Xenopus tropicalis: one gene and its partner. The main gene of each other region encodes a partner of the protein of the gene in region 2 in a complex. Links are inferred from orthologs where the notes say so. Each region holds a gene or a part of one and is shown on either strand. Other genes may lie near its edges.

Region 1 (4,986 bases), on a different chromosome or scaffold from region 2:
CCCCCACCTCATACAGTGATCCCCAACCAGTGGCTCGGGGGCAACATGTTGCTCCCCAACCCCTTGGATGTTGCTCTCAGTGCCCCCAAACCAGGTAGTTATTTTTGAATTCCTGACTTGGTGGCAAGTTTTGATTGAATTAAAACAATATTTAGTACCAAATAAAGCCCCCTGTAAGCTGATAGTGTGCATAGAGGCTACCTAATAGCCAATCTTAGCCCTTATGCGGTCCCCGATCCGACTAAATTTTTTAAACTGCCCGATCGATATCTGCCCGATTTCAGGCCAGGTATCGGTCAGGCAGGCCCGTCGTTATTGCCCCAACATGGGCCGATGAGCTGCTGAAACGGTCTAAGGGACCGATATCGGCAGCTAGTATCGGCCCGTGTATGGCCATCTTCAGGCGGTACATGGTATGAGATTAGACTGCATGTTGGTATCTAAGGTAAAAGACAGACAGGACAATTAAAAACACAATCACCGAAACTAATCGACATAATGGATATTTCCATACATGAACATACAGGTCGCCGCCTGTGGAATTTGCTGTATGGGACAAGTCAGCATTGTTATAGCCACAGTAGTCACATTAGTCACGGTGACTAATCGCCCTGATTTCCAACACCAGCACTAAGACATACTTTAAAGAACAGTAACACCAAAAAAATGTATGTATCACAGTAGTCACTATATTTTGTACCATTGCCCTGCACTGGTAAGTTGTGTTTGCATTAGAATCTCAACTATATTTTATATAAACAAAGCTGTATCAAACTGAAATAAGGCTAAGGGCTCTGGCACACGGGGAGATTAGTCACCTCGCGAGTCTTTTTCGGCGATTTCGTGAAATCGCGCCGCCGCGTGTGCCATCCCGCCGGCGACTTACATGTTCACATGTTCGCTCATGGCAACTCGGGGAGATTAGTCGCCCGCGAACAGGGAGTTTTGTCGCGGGCGACTGATCTCCCCGTGTGCAAGAGCCCTAATTGACACAGGTTACACAGCTGATAATAGATAAGCAGTGTAGTTTCCCATTGTATTCTAGAGAGCTTATCAGTTTTTTGTCTTTTGTCCTCTTTTTTTTTTGCCACCTTTTCTGAAAATAAATACCGGCCTTCCTATATTTTTATCTTTTTTTTCTAATAATAACATTGGCACTAAGCATCATTTTTACCAGACAGGTGGCAACCATAACCCCAGGGCTACACAGCAGCTTTGTATATATAAACTAGAGTAGGGTTTATGAAGTAAAAGAACTTTTACTAGTGCAGGGAAACAGTACATTATATTTTAATTACTTGAAATAATTTTCATTTTTTGGTGTCGCCATTCCTTAAAGCACTGGAAGCCTTTTTTGTCACAAACTACATTGAGAGAGGCTCCAAATTGGAGAATATGTGGGGGGAGTATTGAGCTGTAATGTGTAATCTGCTTCCACTGTTTTTGTTGGACCACAAATCCCAAGATCCCCCAAGAGATTCGCCATGTGGGGCGGAGCTAGCCACAACACACAAAGTAGGAGAAGCAAAAGGAGTGCACGTTTCACTTTATTTTTTTTATATTAGGATAATTCGGATAAACTGCTTCCATGGCAACAGCGAACGCCTAAACATTAATAGGCGTGGCTTAATGAGACAGTCCGTCCTTTCTTGACGCACTGACGCAAGGTTGAAGCGTATTGGTGGCTGTGAGGGTGACGTTAGTGACGTGTAATATCCTGCCGCGTCACATTTAGAAGAATCCAAGATGGCGGACTGGGGCAGAGGTACTGGGGTCTAGGGTGCTTGTGTGAGATAAATACGTGTGTTATGTAGGATATCAGTGCTCCCTGAATGCCGAGAGAGTGGGGGCAGCGGCCTGGCAAACAGAGAAGGTGTTTGCGTGGGATTCGCTCTGGGATATTAAGCGTAAAGCAAAGGAACTGAGAGGGAATCTATGCTGGAATTAATGTTTGGGGGCGGTACTCTGTCCTGGGTGGGGCTCTATGCTAGGGGTGGTCTCCATGGGGGCTGTATGGGGAAGTACTCTGAAGGCCTTTGGTGGGTGATTTCTCTGTTAGGGAAGGTCAGTATGGGAATGTGCTGTATACTCTGTACTACACAGTGTTCAGGGTGCGGGGGTTCTACTCTGTGTAGACTGAGACTGTTCTAGGAGTCATTAGAGAGTCGTGGGGGTCTCTAGTATAGTGTTGCAGTCTGTACCAGTCTGTATAGTGTTGCAGTCTGTACCAGTCTGTATAGTGTTGCAGTCTGTACCAGTCTGTATAGTGTTGCAGTCTGTACCAGTCTGTATAGTGTTGCAGTCTGTACCAGTCTGTATAGTGTTGCAGTCGTACCAGTCTGTATAGTGTTGCAGTCTGTACCAGTCTGTATAGTGTTGCAGTCTGTACCAGTCTGTATAGTGTTGCAGTCTGTACCAGTCTGTATAGTGTTGCAGTCTGTACCAGTCTGTATAGTGTTGCAGTCTGTACCAGTCTGTATAGTGTTGCAGTCTTACCAGTACCAGTCTGTATAGTGTTGCAGTCTGTACCAGTCTGTATAGTGTTGCAGTCTGTACCAGTCTGTATAGTGTTGCAGTCTGTACCAGTTCTGTATAGTGTTGCAGTCTGTACCAGTCTGTATAGGTGTTGCCAGTTGCTGTACCAGTCTGTATAGTGTTGCAGTCTGTACCAGTCTGTATAGTGTTGCAGTCTGTACCAGTCTGTATAGTGTTGCAGTCTGTACCAGTCTGTATAGTGTTGCAGTCTGTACCAGTCTGTATAGTGTTGCAGTCTGTATAGTGTTGCAGTCTGTACCAGTCTGTATAGTGTTGCAGTCTGTACCAGTCTGTATAGTGTTGCAGTCTGTACCAGTCTGTATAGTGTTGCAGTCTGTACCAGTCTGTATAGTGTTGCAGTCTGTACCAGCAGTCCCCAGTGTGAGGGGAGTTGGAGATCTCTCTGCTCGTTACTGGGCTGGGGAAGTGTATTAGTGTTGTGCGTGGGTACGGCACCATAAGCAATGATTTCCTGTACTTATAATAATAATATTATAATAAGCACACATTTGGGTGCCTCTCTCTTCTCTTGTTGATATCTGAGGGGCTGTTGTAATAATTTCAGACATAATAGGGGTGGGGGAGGGTTTCATAGGGCTCCAGGTTACTTTCTTAGTGCGTTATAGTCGGCTCCTTGAAGGGGAATTGCTATAAACTTAGCAGTCTCTGAGCACTTTTGCAGTGTGCATTGATTTTCTAGTTTTAATGGTTTGTGAGTCAGTAGCAGATACGTGCTGCCAGGAAGACCTCGGCTCATCAGCTCTCTTTGAATGCCCGAAAAGACTGTGGCCCTGACTGTCTATGCATTTGTAGTTTCTTTTAACCCTGGGGTTTCTGAAATGAATGTATATTGCAAAAAGGCCCAGAGAAACTCTGCCCATATGTGACTATGGCCATATCGCACTAGGATCTGCCTTGCCATGGCCAGATATATATTGATATATATTGAAATTGGCTTTATTGATTATGTTAAATGCACGTCACACATGAGGACTTTAGTCTGGGGATGTGTTTGTGCATTAGGTGAGACAGCAGTCGGGCATCCTGGAAATCCCTTCTTACATCCTGACAGTCTCATTCTAGTTTCCACTCTCGTGATTCAGGGCCGGCACCACTGTCCCTTCCCCGCGTTGTTGGGCCGGCACCACTGTCCCTTCCCCGCGTTGTTGGGCCGGCACCACTGTCCCTTCCCCGCGTTGTTGGGCCGGCACCACTGTCCCTTCCCCGCGTTGTTGGGCCGGCACCACTGTCCCTTCCCCGCGTTGTTGGGCCGGCACCACTGTCCCTTCCCCGCGTTGTTGGGCCGGCACCACTGTCCCTTCCCCGCGTTGTTGGGCCGGCACCACTGTCCCTTCCCCGCGTTGTTGGGCCGGCACCACTGTCCCTTCCCCGCGTTGTTGGGCCGGCACCACTGTCCCTTCCCCTTCCAAAAAAGAAAAACCTGCCATTCAGTTGCTCTTTGTTTTTTTTACAGGGCCAAATTCAGGAGCAGTGGATGAGATGTTGGATGCAGAGAACAAACGGCTGTCAGAAAATCTTTCTTCGAAGGTGACCAGGCTGAAATCAGTAAGTAGGAGTGGTAGATATTCTACAGGAATAAATAACTGATGTGTAGGCCTCTATTCACAGCGCCTTTCTCTTTTGCCTCTCTAACAATTCCTACTATATGCATAAAGTACAGGGCACTTCTGCCTCTCTAACAATTCCTACTGTATGCATAAAGTACAGGGCACTTCTGCCTCTCTAACAATTCCTACTGTATGCATAAAGTACAGGGCACTTCTGCCTCTCTAACAATTCCTACTATATGCATAAAGTACAGGGCACTTCTGCCTCTCTAACAATTCCTACTGTATGCATAAAGTACAGGGCACTTCTGCCTCTCTAACAATTCCTACTGTATGCATAAAGTACAGGGCACTTCTGCCTCTTTTGCCTGGGCTCTGTTCCTGCATAATCACTCGGATATCACAATCTGTTCCTTTTTTTTTTTTTTTTACAGCTTGCACTGGACATTGACAAAGAGGCTGATGACCATAACAAGTACCTGGATGGCATGGTAAGACTCTATAGATACTTCGAATCCCTGTACAAAACAGTCTGTTCATTATCTGTTGTGTGTGTATATATATATATATATATTTATAATAATTATAGTAAAGGTTTAGGATCTGTTATCCAGAATGTTAGTGACATTTTGTTTTCCATAATTTAGAACACCTTAAGGCTACTACAGAAAATAAACATAATATAAACACAAGGATAGTTTAATTAGCATCAATTACAGAGACAAAGGAAATCATTAAAAAAAAAATAACTTTATGGGAAAAGTTTTCTGAATAACTGGTTTCTCACCCATTTCTAATTCTTTACGTCCAGCTTAAGGGAGGAGTTTAATGGGACAGCAATATGTACTTTCAGGATTTAGCAGAACTTTTAGTATGACATAGA
Region 2 (4,929 bases):
TTCGCACAGCTCAAGATGTAAGCAGCAGACCATACACACCTTAACATCTGTTTCTTGTGGCACTCCATCTCCTTCAGCAATGCTTGCTTGTCAGATTCCTTATCCTGCTCCTTAGCCAACTGTTCAAAATCCTTTTCCAAAATAACAAAGAAGTATATCACCAATTATAGGTTTAGAAAACTATTACCTGGATGACTTTAAAGGTGATCACTTTTGGTGATGAGCAATGATTCATGCAAAAATGTTTTTTTTTTTTTGTAAATCCAAGCAAGTAAACAAGTACTGTAATCCATCAAGACAAATGACTATAAAATTGTGCAAAGTACTCTTAGAACTACTTTTAATTATTTTTATTTTAGTTTTAAAGAGATTAGCTGTTTTGAAATGGCTAATACAGGGATCCCCAACCTATCTTACTCATGAGCCACAGTCGAATGTAAAAAGACTTGGAGAGCAACACAAGCACCATAAAAGTTAACGGAGGTGCCAAATAAGGGCTGTGATTGGCTATTAGGGAGCCTCTATGCAGTCTATCAGCTTACAGGGGCTTTATTTGGTAGGAAATCTTGTTTTTATTCAACCAAAACTTGCCCCCAAGTCAGGAATTCAAAAATAACTACCTGGTTTGGGGGCACTGAGAGCAACATCCAAGGGGTTGGGGAGCAACATGTTGCCCCCGAGCCACTGGTTGGGGATCACTGGGCTAATATAACATATTTGAAACAACAGCGCCACCTGCTGGATATTTCAGCTGGCTGGCTACTGTGACTGGCTACTGTTGGCTAAAAATGAATTGCCTGAGATAAGAAACATTTTGTAATGATGCTCTGCTTAGAAAGTGGAGTCTCTGGTGTTTCTGTGATCAGTTCTAGGGAGAGCAACACCTTAAAATGTTTCTTTTCTCAGGAAATTCATTTTTAGCCACTTTTAGCCCATTGGCCTAAAATAATCAGCACTTCAAATAACTTCTAATAACTGAGAAAGTAGAAAAAATGTACTTTGCAAAAGTGCTTAGAAAAAAACTCTGAGCGAATAATATGCTTTGCTTTGAGGGCTCCCAATATTATGGGCCAGTGATTCCCAAACAGTGGTTCATGAGCAACATGTTGCTCCCCAAACAATTGGATGTTGCTCCCAGTGGCCTCAAAGCAAGGGCTTATTTTTAAATTCCTGGCTTGGTAGCAAGTTTGGGTTGCATAAAAACCCAATATAATGCCAAACAAAGCCTCTGTAGGCTGCCAGTCCACATAGGGGCTACCAAATAGCCTATTATAGCCATTATTTGGCACCCCAGGAACATTTTTCATGCTTGTGTTGCCAATTCTTTTTACATTTGAGTGTGTCTCACGGGTAAAAAAGGTTGGGGATCCCTGTTATAGGCAGTAAATGGACTTTTAATGTTTTAAAATATAGTTTAATCATAGGGCAGAGGCCCCAATTACTTATTATCAACCTCTCTTGTGGTTAAGAATTTCTAATTACCTAGCCAGTTTTTCCCTCAAAAATGCAATGTCTTTACTAAATTACACAATGTACCTGTATTCTCAGCCTCAGCAGGTGGAATTTTTCCTTGACTTGAGCATTGAAATCATTTAGGGTGCTTAGAGGACCAGGGCATTCTCTGATGTCCTATAAAAGACAAATCATTTTAAAACGTCTACATACAATACAGAAGAGCTAGGGGGATAAGGATCCAATGAGAAAGTACCATCTGCTGTGCTGTTCCCAAACTGAAATGACATAGTGGCACATGAGATGCCTAGCAAACGTCATTAAAAAATGACAGTTAATATGCTGGTAGTAACCACCAGCCTCCAGCCAAGGATAAAGTTGGGTTGTAAGTGGGTGTAGTCAAGGCATAATAAATTGTGGTTGGGTGTGCAAAAAGCCCAGATTGGCAATCTGTGGATTCTGGCAAATGCCAGAGGGGCTGCTGTAAGAAGCCATAGACAGACACTGTTTGGGACATTGTGTACTTGAAGTGCCAGGGCCTATTTTGAATCCCAGGCTTGGTGTGCCATAAGTGTGACCAAAATCACTTGGATTCAGTTCTCTTGAGGTATCAGCTTTAGGAAGTTATTCTATACAAAGATATTACTGGTGACAAAGACTTGATTACTGGGTGCTGATATTTTGACATTTTGGTTAAGATATACTAACATTCACTGGCTAACTAGCATACAGATATCCAGATGGCCTGCTGTATGGTTACAGCTACTTCTGGCTCTGCAAGCATGGAGGCGAAGGTGGTGGTCACTATGTGGCCGAGGGTGTAAGTGGCTCTCACCCCAACATGTGAGGGCCCGGAAAAGTCTTTTGCTTGGAAGCCTGACCTTATTTTATGCCACTGGTAACAACTAATGTCAGTGTTAATTCTGGTTCATAATGGCCCAGATGACAGAAGGGTTAAACTTGAGGGTTAAACTTGAGGCCCCCTGCTAACTCAGTAGTATAGAGCCTATGAGTACTGATAGCAGCACTGCTCATTAGCTGGGAAAGCATTATAGCTATTTCAGTTATCAGCCAGTTAAATGTATTATACCTACATAACTGTTAGGGTGCAGTACATGGAACATGTAGCAGGAAGCCCATGTAATAATTTAGGAAAATAAAACTGCCAGGCTCTGTTAACCAAACCATACAGTAGGCTGTGACCGTAGGGAACTATCAGTACATGCCGGTAACGCTACACCAGTCCGCATTCAAACATAAACCATTGAGTTTGGAGTCTTCGGAACTGGTACGTAAGCTCGGCCTGCCGCTAGGTGGCGTTGCATAGGGAATATTACAAACTCGGACCCTTAATGGTAAGCTGAATTCCCTACTGCCTCCTGCATGTAGAAAGTCAGTATTATTAATGGCGATCACCCCTTCAGCACCCCACTGCGTTACCTGGATCAGCGCTTTGATCTCCAGGTCATATTTAACGATTTCCTGGTGACAAATTCGGACGTGGACATCCTGCGAATCTGCCATCGCGACAGGCTTAACAACGGTGCGCGGAATGGGACAAAATACCATGCACCGATGACTCTGACTAAGACAAAAATAAACCTTTGCGCCATCTGCTGTATGGAGAGGTAATTTCTTTGCTCGTATGGACAGCGATGAGGGGGCACAGAGACATCTAGAGGTGCTTTTGGGAAAACGCACACAATAAGAAACGTTCTGCTCAGTTCAAAGGGGTGTTAGGGTGAAGACACACTGAGCTACTAGTAGCAGCTACTTGTCACGGCTACAGAAATAGACAATGCTGATCATTTACTGTTAATTGTCTCTATGTGGCAGAGGTAATTCTCAGTATTGTCTATGTCAGGGTATTTTCTGGCGTTTAGTAGCTGTGACAATTAGCTGCTACTAAGTAGCTCTGTGTGTCTTCACCCTTAAAGCAAGTGAACAGTCAACTTCAAATGTAAACAGGCTTAGACTGGACTATGGGGTTTCCTGCTGAATGACATTAGAGACCCTTTTTTGCTGTACATAAACACAGAATATGTTGGAGCTTTATAAATGCTTGTTAATAATAAAAATAATAGATATTTCGGGGTATGAGTGGAAAGGGTACAGTACAGTAAGGGCAGCAGTATGTGGCTGTGGAAAGGAGAACTATAGGAGGCTTTGCATGAGCCCATGGTACTTCAGTGATCTATAGTTACAACCCTCAGCTCCCACCAGTGGTTCAGATAAGGGAGGACAGAATTTTGGTGGTTGTTTTTCTGCAACATCTGGGGCTCAGAATATTACCTGTCCCGAACCTATCATCTATTTTACTCCCTTTTGAGAGGGATGTTTCTGGGGCTGAAAGCTGCACATCTGGGCACAAACATGACTGGCCAACTTTCTGCATTTTTTCATTACAAAAATACCCCTAGTAACCAATCAGATAATTAATTTTAAAGACCAGAAAAGTAAATGCTGCTTGATGATTCACTGCTGTATTATTCTAAAACTGAAGAAAGTTATTCTTGGCACAAGTAAATTAAATAATGTTGGGGTTATTTTGTATGGTTCCCAACCCACCTCTTATCGCTTCTGCCCTGCCATGCAGTACTTTACCTTTTCCTCTTCCCCCGGTGCTCCTTTGTTTAAAATAATTGCCTGGTTAGTCTATAATTTTCCTTGTGACTATCTTAAAGGAACAGTTCAGTGTAAAAATGAAAATGGAGTGGGCAGATGTCTAACATAATAGCCAGAACAGCTCTAAGCTGTTAGCAATCAATAACCAATCAGTGACCTGAGTGGGCCATATAGGACATAACTGTTCAGTTAATTTGCATTTGAATCTGACCTGCCTGCTCACAAACTAACTGAACAGTTATGTCCTATGTGGGCCCCCCTAAAGTCACTGACTAACTAAGAGGTTAGACAGCTGAAAGCAGGAAGTCAGGTTCTGGCTATTATGTTAGACATATGCTTACTCCAGCCTTTATAGATTACATTTTTGCCTAATTATATTGGAAATATTTTATATTTTGCACAGTCTATTTTTCCCAGTTTAATTTTTACACTGAACTATTCCTATAACAGTGTTCATACCCACATATGTATTAAAAGGCACAACTTTTTTCCTGTAGCAGTAACCTATAGCAACCAATAAGATGTTTGCTTTTAAACAGCTGACCAGTGCATCTACCTGCTGATTGGTTGCTATGAGTTACTGATCCTGGGCAAACATAGTGCATTTTATGATTATGACTTTTTAGTGACTTGCTGCCCTTGGCTTGGCATCACATTCCAGAGTCTATTAAGTGTGGGAGGGGGCAAATGCCTGTGCTGTTTTGTCTCTGTTGGACTGTTTATTGTACCTGTGCCAATCCAGGGCATCACTTACCTAGGAGCACTGCGAAGGTGGTGCTGCAGCAGGTGAAAGAAAGCTACCCATCCAGGGTCAGTGTTAGCAAATAATTCTGTAAAGGAATACGTAGAGGT

Evidence for each region. The genes of interacting proteins can lie anywhere in the genome.
Region 1: bnip1 (region 2) and bet1l share a complex: the UniProt entries of both Homo sapiens proteins name them as parts of the SNARE complex. The link is inferred for Xenopus tropicalis from reciprocal best matches to the Homo sapiens genes BNIP1 and BET1L.

What each region holds. Positions count from the first base shown.
Region 1 is NC_030680.2:24,001,596-24,006,581, forward strand, and holds the start of bet1l (BET1-like protein), read left to right. Parts: upstream 1-1,653; 5' UTR 1,654-1,746; coding exon 1,747-1,765; intron 1,766-2,002; exon of another isoform or gene 2,003-2,064; intron 2,065-4,009; coding exon 4,010-4,101; intron 4,102-4,537; coding exon 4,538-4,594; intron 4,595-4,986. UniProt on the Homo sapiens protein: Vesicle SNARE required for targeting and fusion of retrograde transport vesicles with the Golgi complex. Required for the integrity of the Golgi complex.
Region 2 is NC_030679.2:43,444,125-43,449,053, forward strand, and holds the start of bnip1 (vesicle transport protein SEC20), read right to left. Parts: upstream 3,007-4,929; 5' UTR 2,977-3,006; coding exon 2,893-2,976; intron 2,814-2,892; exon of another isoform or gene 2,577-2,813; coding exon of another isoform or gene 2,547-2,576; intron 1,630-2,546; coding exon 1,537-1,629; intron 132-1,536; coding exon 40-131; intron 1-39. UniProt on the Homo sapiens protein: As part of a SNARE complex may be involved in endoplasmic reticulum membranes fusion and be required for the maintenance of endoplasmic reticulum organization. Also plays a role in apoptosis.